2 linked regions of the Drosophila melanogaster genome follow. The protein of the gene in region 1 interacts with the protein of each later gene in a pairwise test. Each region holds a gene or a part of one and is shown on either strand. Other genes may lie near its edges.

Region 1 (7,160 bases):
AAACCAAACCGTCAACAGCCCATGGGCCATGGGATGTCGGGACAAAGTCACTTAGCTGCTTATCTCCACGGAACTAAGCCAGATCGCCCTCAAATGGAGTGGGCGTGGTACATTGTGTCTGCTTTTACTCATTTTATCCGTACGCGAGCGTCACGGATTGGGGAATACTCGTATGTACGAATAATATGCACGACAAATTCATTATAATATCGCCCAAACGAATTCGTCGACGGCTTGAATTTTCCTGCGTGCGTGCCAAGACATACGGCAAACGAATTTCGCCCAGAAGTGCGTTGGTATTGCTGGCCCACACACAGATTCTCACACACACACACAAACACTCGCTGAACCAATATCAAATCAGTTTAAATGCGCCCCAATGTGTCGTTCTTGGATTATGATTGCGAACGTTTGCGGCTGCCCCGAGGGCGGTTACAAATGTAATGAAAAGTAATTTCTATTTCTGGCCACAACCAAATGGGATTTTTACAAAAGCGGTGGTACTGCGGTCCTTAATTTACCATAAATAGATATATATATAAATTTTTATAAACTCTTCACTTAGCATTAAAATGATTTTAACCATAAATTATTTCAATTTTCGAATCACATTAGTTAAATATTGAAATATTGATAGCGGATTGATCATTTGTTTTAGGTCAGCTGTACTCAATTATATATTTAATCTTCATCCAATCCATTTGCAGCTGGTAATGATTTATTTAAGTTAATTTAAACAAACTGCATAAATTGCTCGTCCAGCAATGGGAAAAATAAAATAAAAACGCAACTGATTAAAGAGTTTTGGTGTTTTTTGGTCTTAAACAAATCAGATATTGATTAAATATTGGGAAACGCTACAATCTCTATTAAATTAGTGTAAAAAAAATATTACATCTCAGAATTCGCTTAAAAACAACGAAATGCAGCTACTGCAAATGCAAAACATTCAGCGACATAGAATGAAATCCTTTGGGTTTTCTTTAAATAAGTACAGATCATCTTCTGAATACAAAACCACAAGTTTGCTTAAGAGTCAGAGAGAGAAGCTCCAGAATTATGCCATTTTCCGCTATACCCATGGCCCGCGAAGAAGTATTCTTTATTCTTGAGGCAGCACCAAATAAAAAAAAAATATGAGAAAAAATCGCTCTGAAATTTCCGCCTCGGTCTTATCCTTTATTTTGAGCAAAGGACCTGAAAAGGAACCCAGTGCCCGTTCATGTGTGTAAATGGGAGCATGTGAGTGTTTTTCAGCCACTGTGTGAGTGTGTGGCATTATGCGCCCTGGCATTTTTATGGCACTTTAACTTTATGTTGAGTAATTCCCGGCTGAAGGGCGAGAGTCAAGTCCTCGGGAAAGTGTGGCCGAGACCATGATGACCGCTTTGCAGGGGCTATTGAATGTGAGTCCGGCTCTTGACAGCGGCCATTGAATTTATTAATTGCTTAATCATGATGATCCGGTTTGCAATTTATCACCAGGCGTGCACCTTTTCTCATTGATACCTCAATGGGTATTCACAATTATGTTCAATAAAATTCTTTCGTCAGCTAACAAATTTGTATTAAACACGAGTTTTGTGTATTCTTTAAATTCACGATGAAACCATATTTTGGCAAAACACGTTTTTCAGTCTAAAAGGAGGCCTTTTTTTTATCATAAAACTTAAAATAATTGTCCAAATATGGAATGCCATACCTCGTTGAGCTTGTATTTTATCCCCAAATCGATTGGCATTCAAACTTGGCAATTTTAATTTTTTGCCAATTTTTGCAAAATTTGATGATGGTATAAAAAATGCAAAAACTGACCCAAAAATAAAATTTTTTTTATTGACCAAAAAGTAATAGCAATTGTTGCTATTGGTAATTAGGTGCAGAAAACAGTTATTCCTGTACTTATCTGACTATTTTTAGGCGAGTTGTGAAGAAAATACCACTCTTAAATATTGCGTTTTTGCCAAAAGAGACCTTTTTGATTTTTCGCCCAAATATATTCAGTTTTTTCATCATAAATCTTAAAACAATTGTCCAAATATGGAATGCCATACCTCGTTTAGCTTGTATTTTATCCCCAAATCAATTGGCATTCCAATTTGGAAATTTTAATTTTTTGCCAATTTTTGCAAATTTTGATGATGGTACCCCTTATAAAAAATGCAAAACTGACCCAAAAATAAAATTTTTTTTATTGACCAAAAAGTAATTGCACTGGTTAACATTGGTAATTAGGTGCAGAAAACAATTATTCTTGTTGCCTTTCTGACAGTTTTAAACCAAGTTATTCATACATTTTATTCATTCCACAATTTTCAAATTCTACATTATTTTTCCCTTTATTGGACATTTATTCAATTGGGAACTCCATGTTGAACTCCCGCTTGAGGATGAACTTCAGGTCCAGCACGCTAACGTCGCTCTTTCGATACTTGGCCAACTTAACTATGCGCATGGATATGTCGTTAACAAAGGCATCGGCTATTCTGGCCATCATATCGCAACCTTGATCGTCCAGCGATGAATTTGCATCGATTTTCTGCACAAATTGCAGCATGTTGGTCTTGGAGATAATCTGATAGGGGGAAAAGTACGGATCGATTAATGCGTCCTAATTGGGGAAGTCGTTACGTACATCGTAGCTTCCGCCAGGGACAGACTGGCTCTCAATTACGCTAGCTGGCTCCTTCTCCACGGAGCTGGTGTCTATGCTGGTGTCACTGGAGCGGCTCGAGGATCTGGTCGAAGAGTGGCTCTCGTTATCCGACGATTTATCGCTGTCATCGAAATTGAGGGCAAAGGACCAAGGTTCCATGTTACTATCCATGATTCAATTAATTTAATGTCCTTTCCCGTTAATGCCACATGCACTAGGTAAGAAAGTGGCTTGAACTGGTTGGAAATTATAGGAACATAAGGTGTGAGCTAATGCATACTTTTCGGGTCCTGTGTCTTTCTTCAAAAAGCAAAAAGTTTTTTCTTGGTGTCGTGGGACATTACACTTTCTCTCAATTTTTTACCCGGCAATAGTTTGGATCGGGAAAACCCAGCTGGGCTTTGCAGCCTCAACTCTTCGCCCTTGGCCTGCCATAAATAACCAGTTTAAGTCGCAAGCTCTGCAGCTGAAAACGATTTCCATTGTTGCCGCAGCGTTTACCCTTTCCGCTGCGGCTTTTCCTTCACGGTTTTTCCGCCGTCTTCTGCTTTTGATTTATGTTCCGACTGGGCTGTGCGCTTTTCACTTCTCATGCGCCAGCGCCGTCTAAATAAATATCAAAAAGCAACAAATTGTGGCCGTGCCGTAAACGACCTTTGCCCCGGAATAAGAAGCCAGGCCAGGCGACAAGCGCGTCGTCATGGCTTAATTTTATGCCAGGTGAGTACTGGCAAGGCCAGTCAAAACAACAGCACACACGTGCCCAGGTGTCCTGCCAGCCTATTATGCCGTTTGTTCTTTTTGCAAACCCTTAATGCACAGTGGGAATTTCGCTTCAGCGAAGCACCGCGCAAATTTAAGGCCACCTTGGGAGCTTCGGGTTTCAGAATTCAGGCTGCAACTTAAGCCAACTCGGAAAACTGATTTAAACGTGCGGCTATAATTTATATGCCTAGTGAGGGGCTTAAACGTAAATAATCTTAATTTAAACACCATTGAAAAAGGAAGCTCTTCTTAATATTCACATCTACTTCTAATGGAAAAAACATGATCTTGTATATTGTAATTAATAATAACTAATATTCAAATTTAAGATGCTTAAACCGGTGCCACAGTGCCCGTTTTTGTCATTCTAAAATGGTGTGCCATGTGCCTTTGCTGCGCTCCTGCCACTTTGGAGGTGCTCCTCAGTGTCCTCGGCTTAATAAAGTCGCCTACTTAAAGCGAGCGACAATGACATTGTGCGTATGTTGCCAGTCGTCGTCGGTGGAAAGGGATTGGTATGATGGGGTGGCCAGGTCGCCCCTTCGGCCATGTGTCACACATCCGCATCCGGTGTTTGGCATTGGCATTAGGCTTCCTCTTTCTACCTCCCACCGCCGACTGTCGTTTGTCGTTTCCGGCATGCGACTCTTTTATATTGCCGCTTCTATTTGCTGTGTGCACTTTTCTGCCCCTGTCCGCTCATTTCTGCCTTCTCTGGCTGATTTCTGTTTCATATTTTGCTCGCTGGCCTTATGCATAGTGTAAGGCAGCAAAAAACGGCCGACGTTTAGCTTTAAGTGTGCTGAGTGCCATAAATTTCACTTTGTCAGGGTCTTTAATCGCCCAAGCCCCAATCAGGCAGTCATTGTGGGGACTTGAAGAGGACTTGGCTGGTTCGGAAAGGTTAATTGTCATCTAAGTCTTATGGCGAATATATATATTTTACACATTTTCTTTATTCTAAATTTAATCAACATGCTTGTTCCCTTCCTTTAATAAAACCACGACTCAAAAAGAAGTTGTTTCAGCCTTCATGTTGCGTTCTAATGGCACATATCATATCCGTAACGAGAATGCCAGTCAGTGCCTGTATATGAAGTGCTAATTTGCTGTCGTGCTCACATAAAAAATGACAGCCTTAGTTGCCAAAATGTTTGAATTAATCACACATTTGTCAAAATTATTCAAATGTCTTTGCGGCGCGAGAGAAAGTGAATGAGTGTGTGTGTGGGCATGAATAGTTAATACGCATGTGGGGGCTACGCCCGGTTCCGCCCCCTCAGTTTTAGCCGCAGAATGGTGTCTGTGTAATAAGGCTAATGAGTTTCTGCCATGTCTGGCAGAGTGTCGAGACTGAGGGGCTAATTCTCAGCCAGTCAGCATGTTCTATGCACTCGCAGTTACTGGCTGGCTGCCATTTGGAATGGTTTTATTTCACATGATTATGACATTCTGTTGTTCAGGATTTCCCACACACAAATGAAACAGCCACGCATTCTTAGGCCCCGTTTTATTAACGGAGGATGTACTTTTTCGCCTCCGCAGTGGCTGTGCCAGATATTGCGTATACGCCACAGTGGCAGATGCGAAATTAATTTAAATCGGGCCCTCAGCGCACAGACTATTAAACAGAACTCGATCTGCAACAGATTTGCGTTAATGTTTCATAAATGCAAAAAGCAACACATTTAAATTCCTTCTCCATTTAAGTTTTTAATTACACTTAGCCGGCGAAGCGCACGGCAGCAACAGGAATGAAAATGGAAATGAAAACGAAAATGGGCAACAGACGACGGGACGACGGTGTTGACGGGCATGAGATGAAATCCTTTAATAGGCGTCGCGCCATTTTGTCGCCGGCATCGCTGCTTAATCCTTTCGCGGCATATTTTCCAGCGCGCCGTGACTTAATGAGGCGCTTTTCCATGCCGAGCACGCGGCTCATCCTTCCCCCTCCACGCCCGATGCCAAACAATGCGGATCCTTCCGGGAGAAGTGCGATTCTAAGCCAACCAACATACACCTCTTATCAGTTGCATTTACGGTGGAGCAGGCGTTAATGTGGCATCGCATTTAGTTGGTCACGCCGGATGCCTAAGCCACGCTTGTGTGCCTAAAAATTGTGTGCGAATTTCATTTTCCAACAGGAAATTAATTTCGCTTCCTCTCCGAAATTATCCTGGCAGACCAAGTTAAAATGATCAAAAATTATTTCGTAAATGAGACTGACATCTTTGCATTAGCTGATTGCCTCACAAATATAGATACCCCCGGGGACATCGTTCTTATTTATCATATTACTTCATTCGAGTTAGGGAATATTAACCTACCCATGACATTTATTTACACATTTCAAGCTTTTTCCATTGATATTCTGCGAAATTTATTCAGATTCCTAGCTCAAGGCGCATTCATAACTGTTTGTGTTGGTAAATCGAGCGACTCGACTGGCACAAATCAAACACGAAGTGCAGGCAGATATCTTCGCTTCATCTCATACTGCCATTGCAGCGCATCGCCATTGCAAACAATTTACCTCGGGTCTTAGCCGACATCATTTGTTTGCCTTGCTTTCCTGCGCTGGCTTTCAGACTTTTCAGCTGATGCAGCTGCAGCTTAGTAATTCTCAGTTGTTTTCCTTTTAATGTAATTTCATCGTTTTATGGAGAAGATGTGCTGGCAAAGGTCAGTCGCGGTGTGGAAGGTCGCTTGAGAACTATTTAATTAATTAACAAGTTTTCTAGAAAAGTTTAACGTATATGTGCCAAAGCAAATAATATTTCATAAGTATAACCTGGATTGATACTGTCTTTTTGATAGTTAAAGGATCCCGTACTTTTTAGTCAACCCACTTTGTTGATCTACCGTCTGTTGTCTTGCACATTGCCGCAGCGCCAAGAGTTGAATTTAATTTAATTTCCCTACTCAAGCTCGACCTTTTGTTGCCTGCTTGTTTATTTGAGCGAGTCGAAGGGTGCGGAGGTCAGAGGCCAAGTGGATGCAAGCTTGTGGCCACGTAGTAGCCAATTCAGCCACTGAAAGCCAAATGATGTGTTAACGCCGAAAGTGCCAGGAGCAGTTGGTTGCCAACTGTCGCATCCGGTGCGTTTGTTGTTTTTGCTGCGAGCAAAAATGCGGTGCCACAAATGAAAATCGATGGCGTGGCACCAAAAAAAAAGGGGGGGGGGGTGAGAGGGAGAAAATAAAACCGAATGCAAACTAAAATCCTCGATTGAGTCGATTGTGGCGACGATGGTGAAGTGGCGTGCCGGAAATCGGCGATGCCACATCCGATTTTCCCGCCTTCCATTTTTCCGGCAATGCCGGAAAGGCGTGCCAACGCCGCATTTCGCATATATGCAATTCAATCTGAATCCCACTCAATAGCTCCATGTTATTTGTGCCGCATTCGCAGATGGTCAGCGCACCAGGTGATGTGATTGGAAACAAGCGAAGCTAAGTGCCATATTCCCATAGCCATTGCCAATTTGCGAGCTGAGCGGCTGTTTCGATGGCTTGCCGCAGCTTCAAGAACAAAAAATAGCGGATATCTGTGACCCGAGAGCCAGTTTCGATTGAATGCGTCAGCAGCATCAGCAACAAACTGCAACACTGCAGCAGCAACAGCGGCATCAGCAGCGACAACAGCAAGAAGCGCAACAGCAACTAGCAACATGTTGACCACTCACCATCTGCACCACCTGCACCACCATCGCGGCAGTACGGCCGTGGAGCTGGA
Region 2 (7,136 bases), on another chromosome or scaffold:
AGTTAATGAGTTCCAGGCGATTAGGCCGTGGGATAAACTTTTTTTGTGCGGCCTACGAAAACGCAGGCATGATTCCGGCATTCAAGATGAATCAATAATTTCGGGGTTATGAAATCATGCCGTTGAATTTTTGATAAGGGTTGAGCTTTTTAGGTCCTTCAAAGGACTTCAACGCTCAACAGCCGACTCGAAATGAAATCCTGCAACATAAGCAACAGTTATACTATAAGTGGGTGGTTCTTTTGGGTGGCTTGGGCGTTGTGTTTTGTTTTTGTTTTTTTTTTGTCTGTGTTTTGGGTGGCTTTCTGGGTGGCTTTCCAGGTGGTCCACGAACCAAAAGTTGGGCAGTCAAGTGCTGGCAAAGTGCAAAGCCAACAACATGGCAACAAGGACGATGCCAAAAATAGTGTCTCAACCGGCCAAAAACGAGCCGATGGTGGTTGGAGTGTAAGTGATTTTTTTGGGTGGTTAAATGGGTGGTTTTGGGTGGTCTGGTTTGGTGGATGATTGTACATTCCATCGAGAGTGAGAAGGTAAGAGGAGCTAAACAAGCAGCCAGCGAACGAACGAACGAACCGCATCGTTTGCTCGTTTATTTGCTAACCAGTCTAAAATGAAATTAATTATAGTTACGCACAGCTTCCGTGACCCACAAGGACCTCTACCTCCCTCCTCCCATTTCCAACCGACTGTCCCTTGTGTGTGTGTGTGTGTGTGTCGCCAGCTTTTGTTTTCAACTTTCGTTGGTTGTTTGGTACGTTTTGGGGAAAGTCCTGCAGGGGCATGTTCCTGAAAAATGGCAAGTCAACTAGTGCAACTAGGCCATTTTGAAAGTTACTTGCTTGTTGCGACAGTTATGTTGCCTTTTAAACAGGAATTATTATGAACAATTTTATGTCAACTTCTATGCACAAAAGGTAACTATTTATTAAGATATCTTAAAAAGTTAGTGGATAAAGTTTTTCATGAGATGAAAAGCGACATTCATACCCTTCAAAATATAGCAACAAGATCAACTCATTGCGGCTGAAAATTACAGGGTATCAAAATGTGGTGGCCAAGAACCAAAACAGCAGTGTAAACAAATTATGCTGAAGCAACACAGAAATTTTCGACCAACATTGCCGGGACTGACTAAAAATAACCAAGTCAGGGGTTACGCCCCCCTCTTGTGCCCCTGCCATTTTGACCCAAGCCTTCACTCCCCTTTTGACCAGCTCTTTTCTTCTTTCTTGTTGCTTTTTAGCCCTTGTTCGGCCAGCTGATGTCTGTCTCTTGGCCTGACCCTGAACTTTTTAATTAATATGTGCAAGTGCGTGAGCATCGAGCATTGAAAGGGCTCGTTGGGCACACTCTCTCACATACACACACATACACAGTTCACACTCACACTCGCACACTCAGATACCCATCCACAAGGGCCGTTCAAAATGGCGAAAAAGGGGAACGGAAAAGGGGGCGGCGAAAAAGCAAAAGCCGCAACAAAAACAAGCAGGCGAAAGATGAAACTCGTTTTGGCCTTTTTCTGGTTACAAAACGCGCCATAATTTTGAGTTGCACACACTGAGCGAAACGGGCCAAATTAAATTTAAAACCGAATTAAACGTTGATATTCATGTTGGTATAGCTAATTATATTCAATTAGAATTTAGCAATGCAATTTAGCAATAATTATTTTCATAATTAGCTATCTCCGAATATATACTACATTTTTGCCCCAGTGTTTGGAGGCTGTGTGTTTTCCGTGTCCCATTTCGCTTTTGTTTACATTTTATATCAAAAACTTTTACGAGCTACAAAATATGCTCAGCCTGAGCCAAGAGCAAACAAATGCGAGGGAAAATGGGCGCTTTGGAGGGCGGTAAAATAAATAAAAATAAAATTGATAGCATGTTCTTTGGGGTCTTGTCGTCTTATACATGTATGTTAGGGTACACGCACATTTGCATATGTGTTTGTGTTTGATTGTGCGTGTGTGTGGGTGTGTCTGCGTGTGGCTGTGCGTGGTAAGTGGATATATGGTCGGAATTATTGGCATCCTACGGTGTACCTTTTTTATACCCAGCCCAGCAACCGCTGATCCCGTCCAATTGCAATTATCGCTTACGAGGGATTGTTAAAGTGGTTCATCTTATGACTTTACATTTTGAATTTGTTGATTTTCAACAGCTTCTTGTTTTATTCGGTGGGGGGTAAGCGAAAAAAAATGCGCCATTAATATTCTTAAAGAATGATGGTCATATTTAAATATTTCAACAATGCAGCGTGCTTTGGTATTCAGTTTAAAGCTCCATCTTTAAACTAAGTCTTCAATGCTTTTATGTTATGAGTACGATATAAGTACCAATTTAAAATATATATCTTAATTAAATTAAAAAACTTCCAATCAAGCAACTGTTAAAACAACATTGATTGAAGAAGGGAAAGTTTGAATTGCCCTGATTGCTAATTTATTGTCAATAAACTTGATTTTGTATTTTCTTTTCTTATTTTACTGAAGAGCTTAGCTCATTTATGTTGAAAATATATCTGAGAAGGATTCAATCAATAAATTGGCCAAACAACGAAAGGCAATGAAAGTAATTCATTCTCTTGATGAATACTTAAGATATTTATAAATATGATTACATTGTAGGACTTCATATTTTTCAGTAAGTTAACTGTAAATTTATTGAGGTCCAAATATAATTTTACAGCTTTTTACAGGCCATTCCCCACAAAGCGGATATGCAGATATGAAAATGGAGTCGTAACAGGTAATCGATAATCAAAGTCCGTTCAGCATAGTGGCCTATCGCAAATAAGGGCTGTCATGTCGTCGTTGCCAGAATAAAATATATTCCTCCTCTGCATGTCGAAAATTGAAAATTTGATAATGCCTAGAAGGCCAGGAAATCGATGGCCTCGCGAGCTGCACGCCGGTAGTCGCTCTCCAGGAAGGGAATCTTGCCCAGCAATTGACCCTGGCTACTGCATATGTACAGCTCGTACAGCTGCTCATCCTCCGGAGCGAGATCTGTGTCCGACGGAACTGTTGGGTTGGTTATTGTGGCTGTGATCTCGAGCCTTTTCTTAAACGAATTGCTATGGAATCTTAGTCGAAAGCTACCGATCACACGCTTTGAGAGCAGTTTCCTCTTAATCATAGTCTTCAAGGATTGGGGCATATTCGTGACTGTGGCATCGCATTCGAATTCTGGATCTTCATTGAACTTTATGTTGTAAGATCTTCGCACCTGCGCGACCTTCATCGAATACCTTCTTCGCACCAACTCCTTGGAACGCACCATCGAGGATGGGAAGAATTTGGTGAAATAAGCATTAAGTTTCAAAACTGGCATTTTTTTTGTTTTTTTAATCGAAATACAATGTCTGATTTGAATGCTGGGTATATAGATGATGAATATATCTATAGATATCCAGAGTTGGGCCGACAGTCGAAGGAAAACGGCTGGGGCAAAGCTTGCTTTTCATCGTAGGAAATCCGGAATACGGTTGAGTGGCGGTAGAAACTGTTGTTTACATTGCCCATACGACCGGTTGGCGTATGCCAAAAAGTAACCCACAGCAACATGGGGCTAAATCAAAATCAGAATCATCCATCGCCCGCAGCGGGCATCAAGGTCTTGAAAACTGTAGAAACCCAGGGAAAAACATGAAAACTTTACTCAGCCCCAGTGCAAAGTTTTTTTGGGACTGAGTCTCACACCCCTAGCAAAAACAACCCCTCAATCTGTCGGTGTTTGTTTTTTTTTTTCCTCCGTTTACCTTCTTCAAATGCAAAATCTAATAAAATTTTCACATTTTATTTTGCTGTTTTTGACTGCAAGTTTTCGGCGGTAAATTGGTGCATGGAAAGAAATTGCCATATAATTCGGATAAAATGTATAAAATTCAGAAAAAATATTACACAAAAAGACTAAATACCAAAATTGTACATATAATTAAGCCTAGATTAAAACATGCTTCTGCTCGGATTTGTTCCTATTTTTCTGACCTTCAAATATTCGCAGGTAAAAAACGACTGCAATGACATATGAGGACTATAAAAGTGAAAGTTGTTGAGCACACATACACACACAGAGAGGACTGTAAGTACTGGGGAAATCTGTGCAAATTGTGGGTGTACATGTGTGCAGCGAGCCATTTTATGTTAACAACTTTGTTGGCCCAAAGCGCTCCGTGTCGTCAATATGTTCATCATTAACAACTCGTCAGCAGAATGATGATGATGATGATGTTGATTATGCCGAAGTGAGTGCCATATGTTAGCCCCCGAAAAACTGAGCCACATTTTGGTGGCAACAAATGGCTGAAATCAACCAAAACAGCCGGCAACATCAAACGTTGAAGTAGGGGCGGCAAAACAAATCAGTTTTTTATTCAATGTGCCCCCATAAAAAAAAAGGGCAAAAAGCACTCACCGAAGAGCGAAAGTTTATGAACCATAAAACAGAATGGAACGATGCATAGGCATGCGATTTTTTTCCCTCTGTTTCCATCTTTTTTTTTTTACTTTCTTTCACCTGCTTGAGGTGCTCTTTTTCCACCCACCCACCCACACTCACAACCATTTGCATATTCGTTTGGGCTCTTTAAAACGCCGTTAGATGCCGAAATATTTCAAACATTTTTCAACTCAAGTTGAGTTGTTAACTCAACGGTGGGCCAAAGGTTTTCCAAATGGGAAATAAATTTCAGCGATGGGCGCGGATTGTGCTCCTTATTTATGGGCCGTGGCTCTTTAAGGACTGACTAGCGAATGTCTTGTAAAATTTATGGCCTGTAATTGGATGCTTTGGTGCCACATTGATTAAGGTTATAGCCCGCAGAACTCATAAATTAAACATTTTTAGAGGAAACCCCTTTAAACGAATAACTAGCCTTCTTATCGAAAATCATGCATTTGTTCAAACGAAATCTTTATTGCTTACATCTTATGCAATCCAATCGCCACAAATTAAACCGCTTGTGGAAATTCGAAGCGGAAATTTGTTGGGAAATTAAACTAATGCCATTTATGAATTATCAAATGTCAAGTGGGCAAGGCGGGTAAAGGAAATCAGGTAAAAGCCATTCTTAAAATGTAATGCAATTTGAGCAATGCGTTGCGAGAAATTGCCGCGGTTATCGGGGATAGCAGGATTCCAGGAATTTGGTCCCAGGACGACTGTGTCTACAGCTCCTGCAAAGGTCCTGACACCTGGCCCCCTCTCTGATTCACTCAAGTGCTCAGTGTCCAGAGTACTTAAAAGAATAGGTGAACTATTAGAGAAAGTACTCGTTACTCGTAGTAACTCGTTTTTTTTTTGTTTTACAAGAAAGGAACAAGAAATAAATGTTGGCAAAAATCTGATATTTTCAAAAGGGATTTTCTCCATAACTTGGCCAAAAAAGGTGTCACAGCTAAAATAAAGACTGTTTCGTGTTGCTAATAAACATACCTAACTATTCCTATCACTATTTATATGCTTTTCAAAAAATAATTTTTTAACAAATTTTCGCATTTTCGATAAGGGGTACCCCCATCAAAATTTGCGAAAAATTCCAATTTCCTAAAATTTTTAGGCTTGAACACACGTTGAAAGGAAATTTTCTTACGAATTCAACGAGGTATGACATTCCACGTTTGGACAATTATTTTTTTAGCTATTGCGAAAAAACGGATTATTTTTTCAAAAAAAATCAAAAATCAAAATGTTGCCAAAAATCTGATATTTTCAAAAGGGATTTTCTCCATAACTTGGCCAAAAAAGGTGTCACAGCTAAAATAAAGACTGTTTCGTGTTGCTAATAAACATACCTAACTATTCCTATCACTATTTATATGCTTTTCAAAAAATAATTTTTTAACAAATTTTCGCATTTTCGATAAGGGGTACCCCCATCAAAATTTGCGAAAAATTCCAATTTCCTAAAATTTTTAGGCTTGAACACACGTTGAAAGGAAATTTTCTTACGAATTCAACGAGGTATGATATTCCACGTTTGGACAATTATTTTTTTAGCTATTGCGAAAAAACGAATTATTTTTTCAACAAAAAAATCAAAATAAAAAATGTTTCCAAAAATCTGATATTTTCAAAAGGGATTTTCGCCATAACTTGGCCAAAAAAGGTGGCACAGGTAAAATAAAGACTGTTTTGTACTGCCAATAAACATACCTAACTATCCGTATCACTATTTATATGCTTTTCGAAAAATAATTTTTAACAAATTTTCGCATTTTCGATAAGGGGTACCCCCATCAAAATTTGCGAAAAATTCAAATTTCCTAAAATTTTTAGGCTTGAACACACGTTGAAAGGAAATTTTAATACGAATTCAACGAGGTATGACATTCTACGTTTGGACAATTATTTTTTTAGCTATTGCGAAAAAACGGATTATTTTTTCCAAAAAAAAAATCAAAAATCAAAATATTGCCAAAAAAATGATATTTTCAAAAGAGTTTTACCCATAACTTCGCCAAAAAAAGGTGGCACAGCTAAAATAAAGATTGTTCTGTACTGCTAATTAACATAGCCAACTATCCCCAATTCTATTTTTATGATTTTCAACGGTGGTGTCAGGTTGGGAAACCGGAAGCGACAAGCAAGGCCAAGGAAGTAACCTTGTCGAACCGGAAAAAAAGGTTAAACTTGTTGCGGCAACTTTTCCACAGCTTCGGATCCGAAATCCTTACACACACCCAACGAACACGATATGTTTTATAGAAGGCGATAAATGTTATTAACTTGACTGGCAAAACTTTCGTAATTGAACGGATGGGCGTCTCGAAATTAGCTGGCAACAAGTCCGCCGAGAATCGACCTTTAAGATTTATATATATTCCCCGATGTGTTACAATTGTGTCTAGAAAAACTTAACTTAGCCGAAAAGAAAAGAGATTTTGAATGAAATAAGAACATACCTAATTAGATTGGTTATATAATTAATAAAAATATATAATTACTTTCTAATTTTACTCTTGATTGAAAATGTTCGCATCATTAATCATTTTTGATTGACATTTAAGGCAGCACCAGTAAGTTGAGAAGATTGGATTTTTTCAATAGACCAAGTTTTTAACAATACAAAATTTAACCGTACAAGCACTTAAAAAATTGATAAGCTACATTCGGTGTTGCCAAAAA

Evidence for each region.
Region 2: the proteins of Taf12L (region 1) and CG2209 interact in a two-hybrid assay, tested with the Drosophila melanogaster proteins (one large-scale study listed by BioGRID).

The regions. Positions count from the first base shown.
Region 1 is NT_033779.5:4,698,642-4,705,801, forward strand, and holds Taf12L (TBP-associated factor 30kD subunit alpha-2), read right to left. Parts: upstream 2,845-7,160; 5' UTR 2,828-2,844; coding exon 2,636-2,827; intron 2,576-2,635; coding exon 2,351-2,575; 3' UTR 2,194-2,350; downstream 1-2,193. Other genes in the region: dcma (decima), read left to right, coding at 7,096-7,160.
Region 2 is NC_004354.4:13,018,463-13,025,598, reverse strand, and holds CG2209 (uncharacterized protein), read right to left. Parts: upstream 3,402-7,136; 5' UTR 3,342-3,401; coding exon 2,880-3,341; 3' UTR 2,650-2,879; downstream 1-2,649.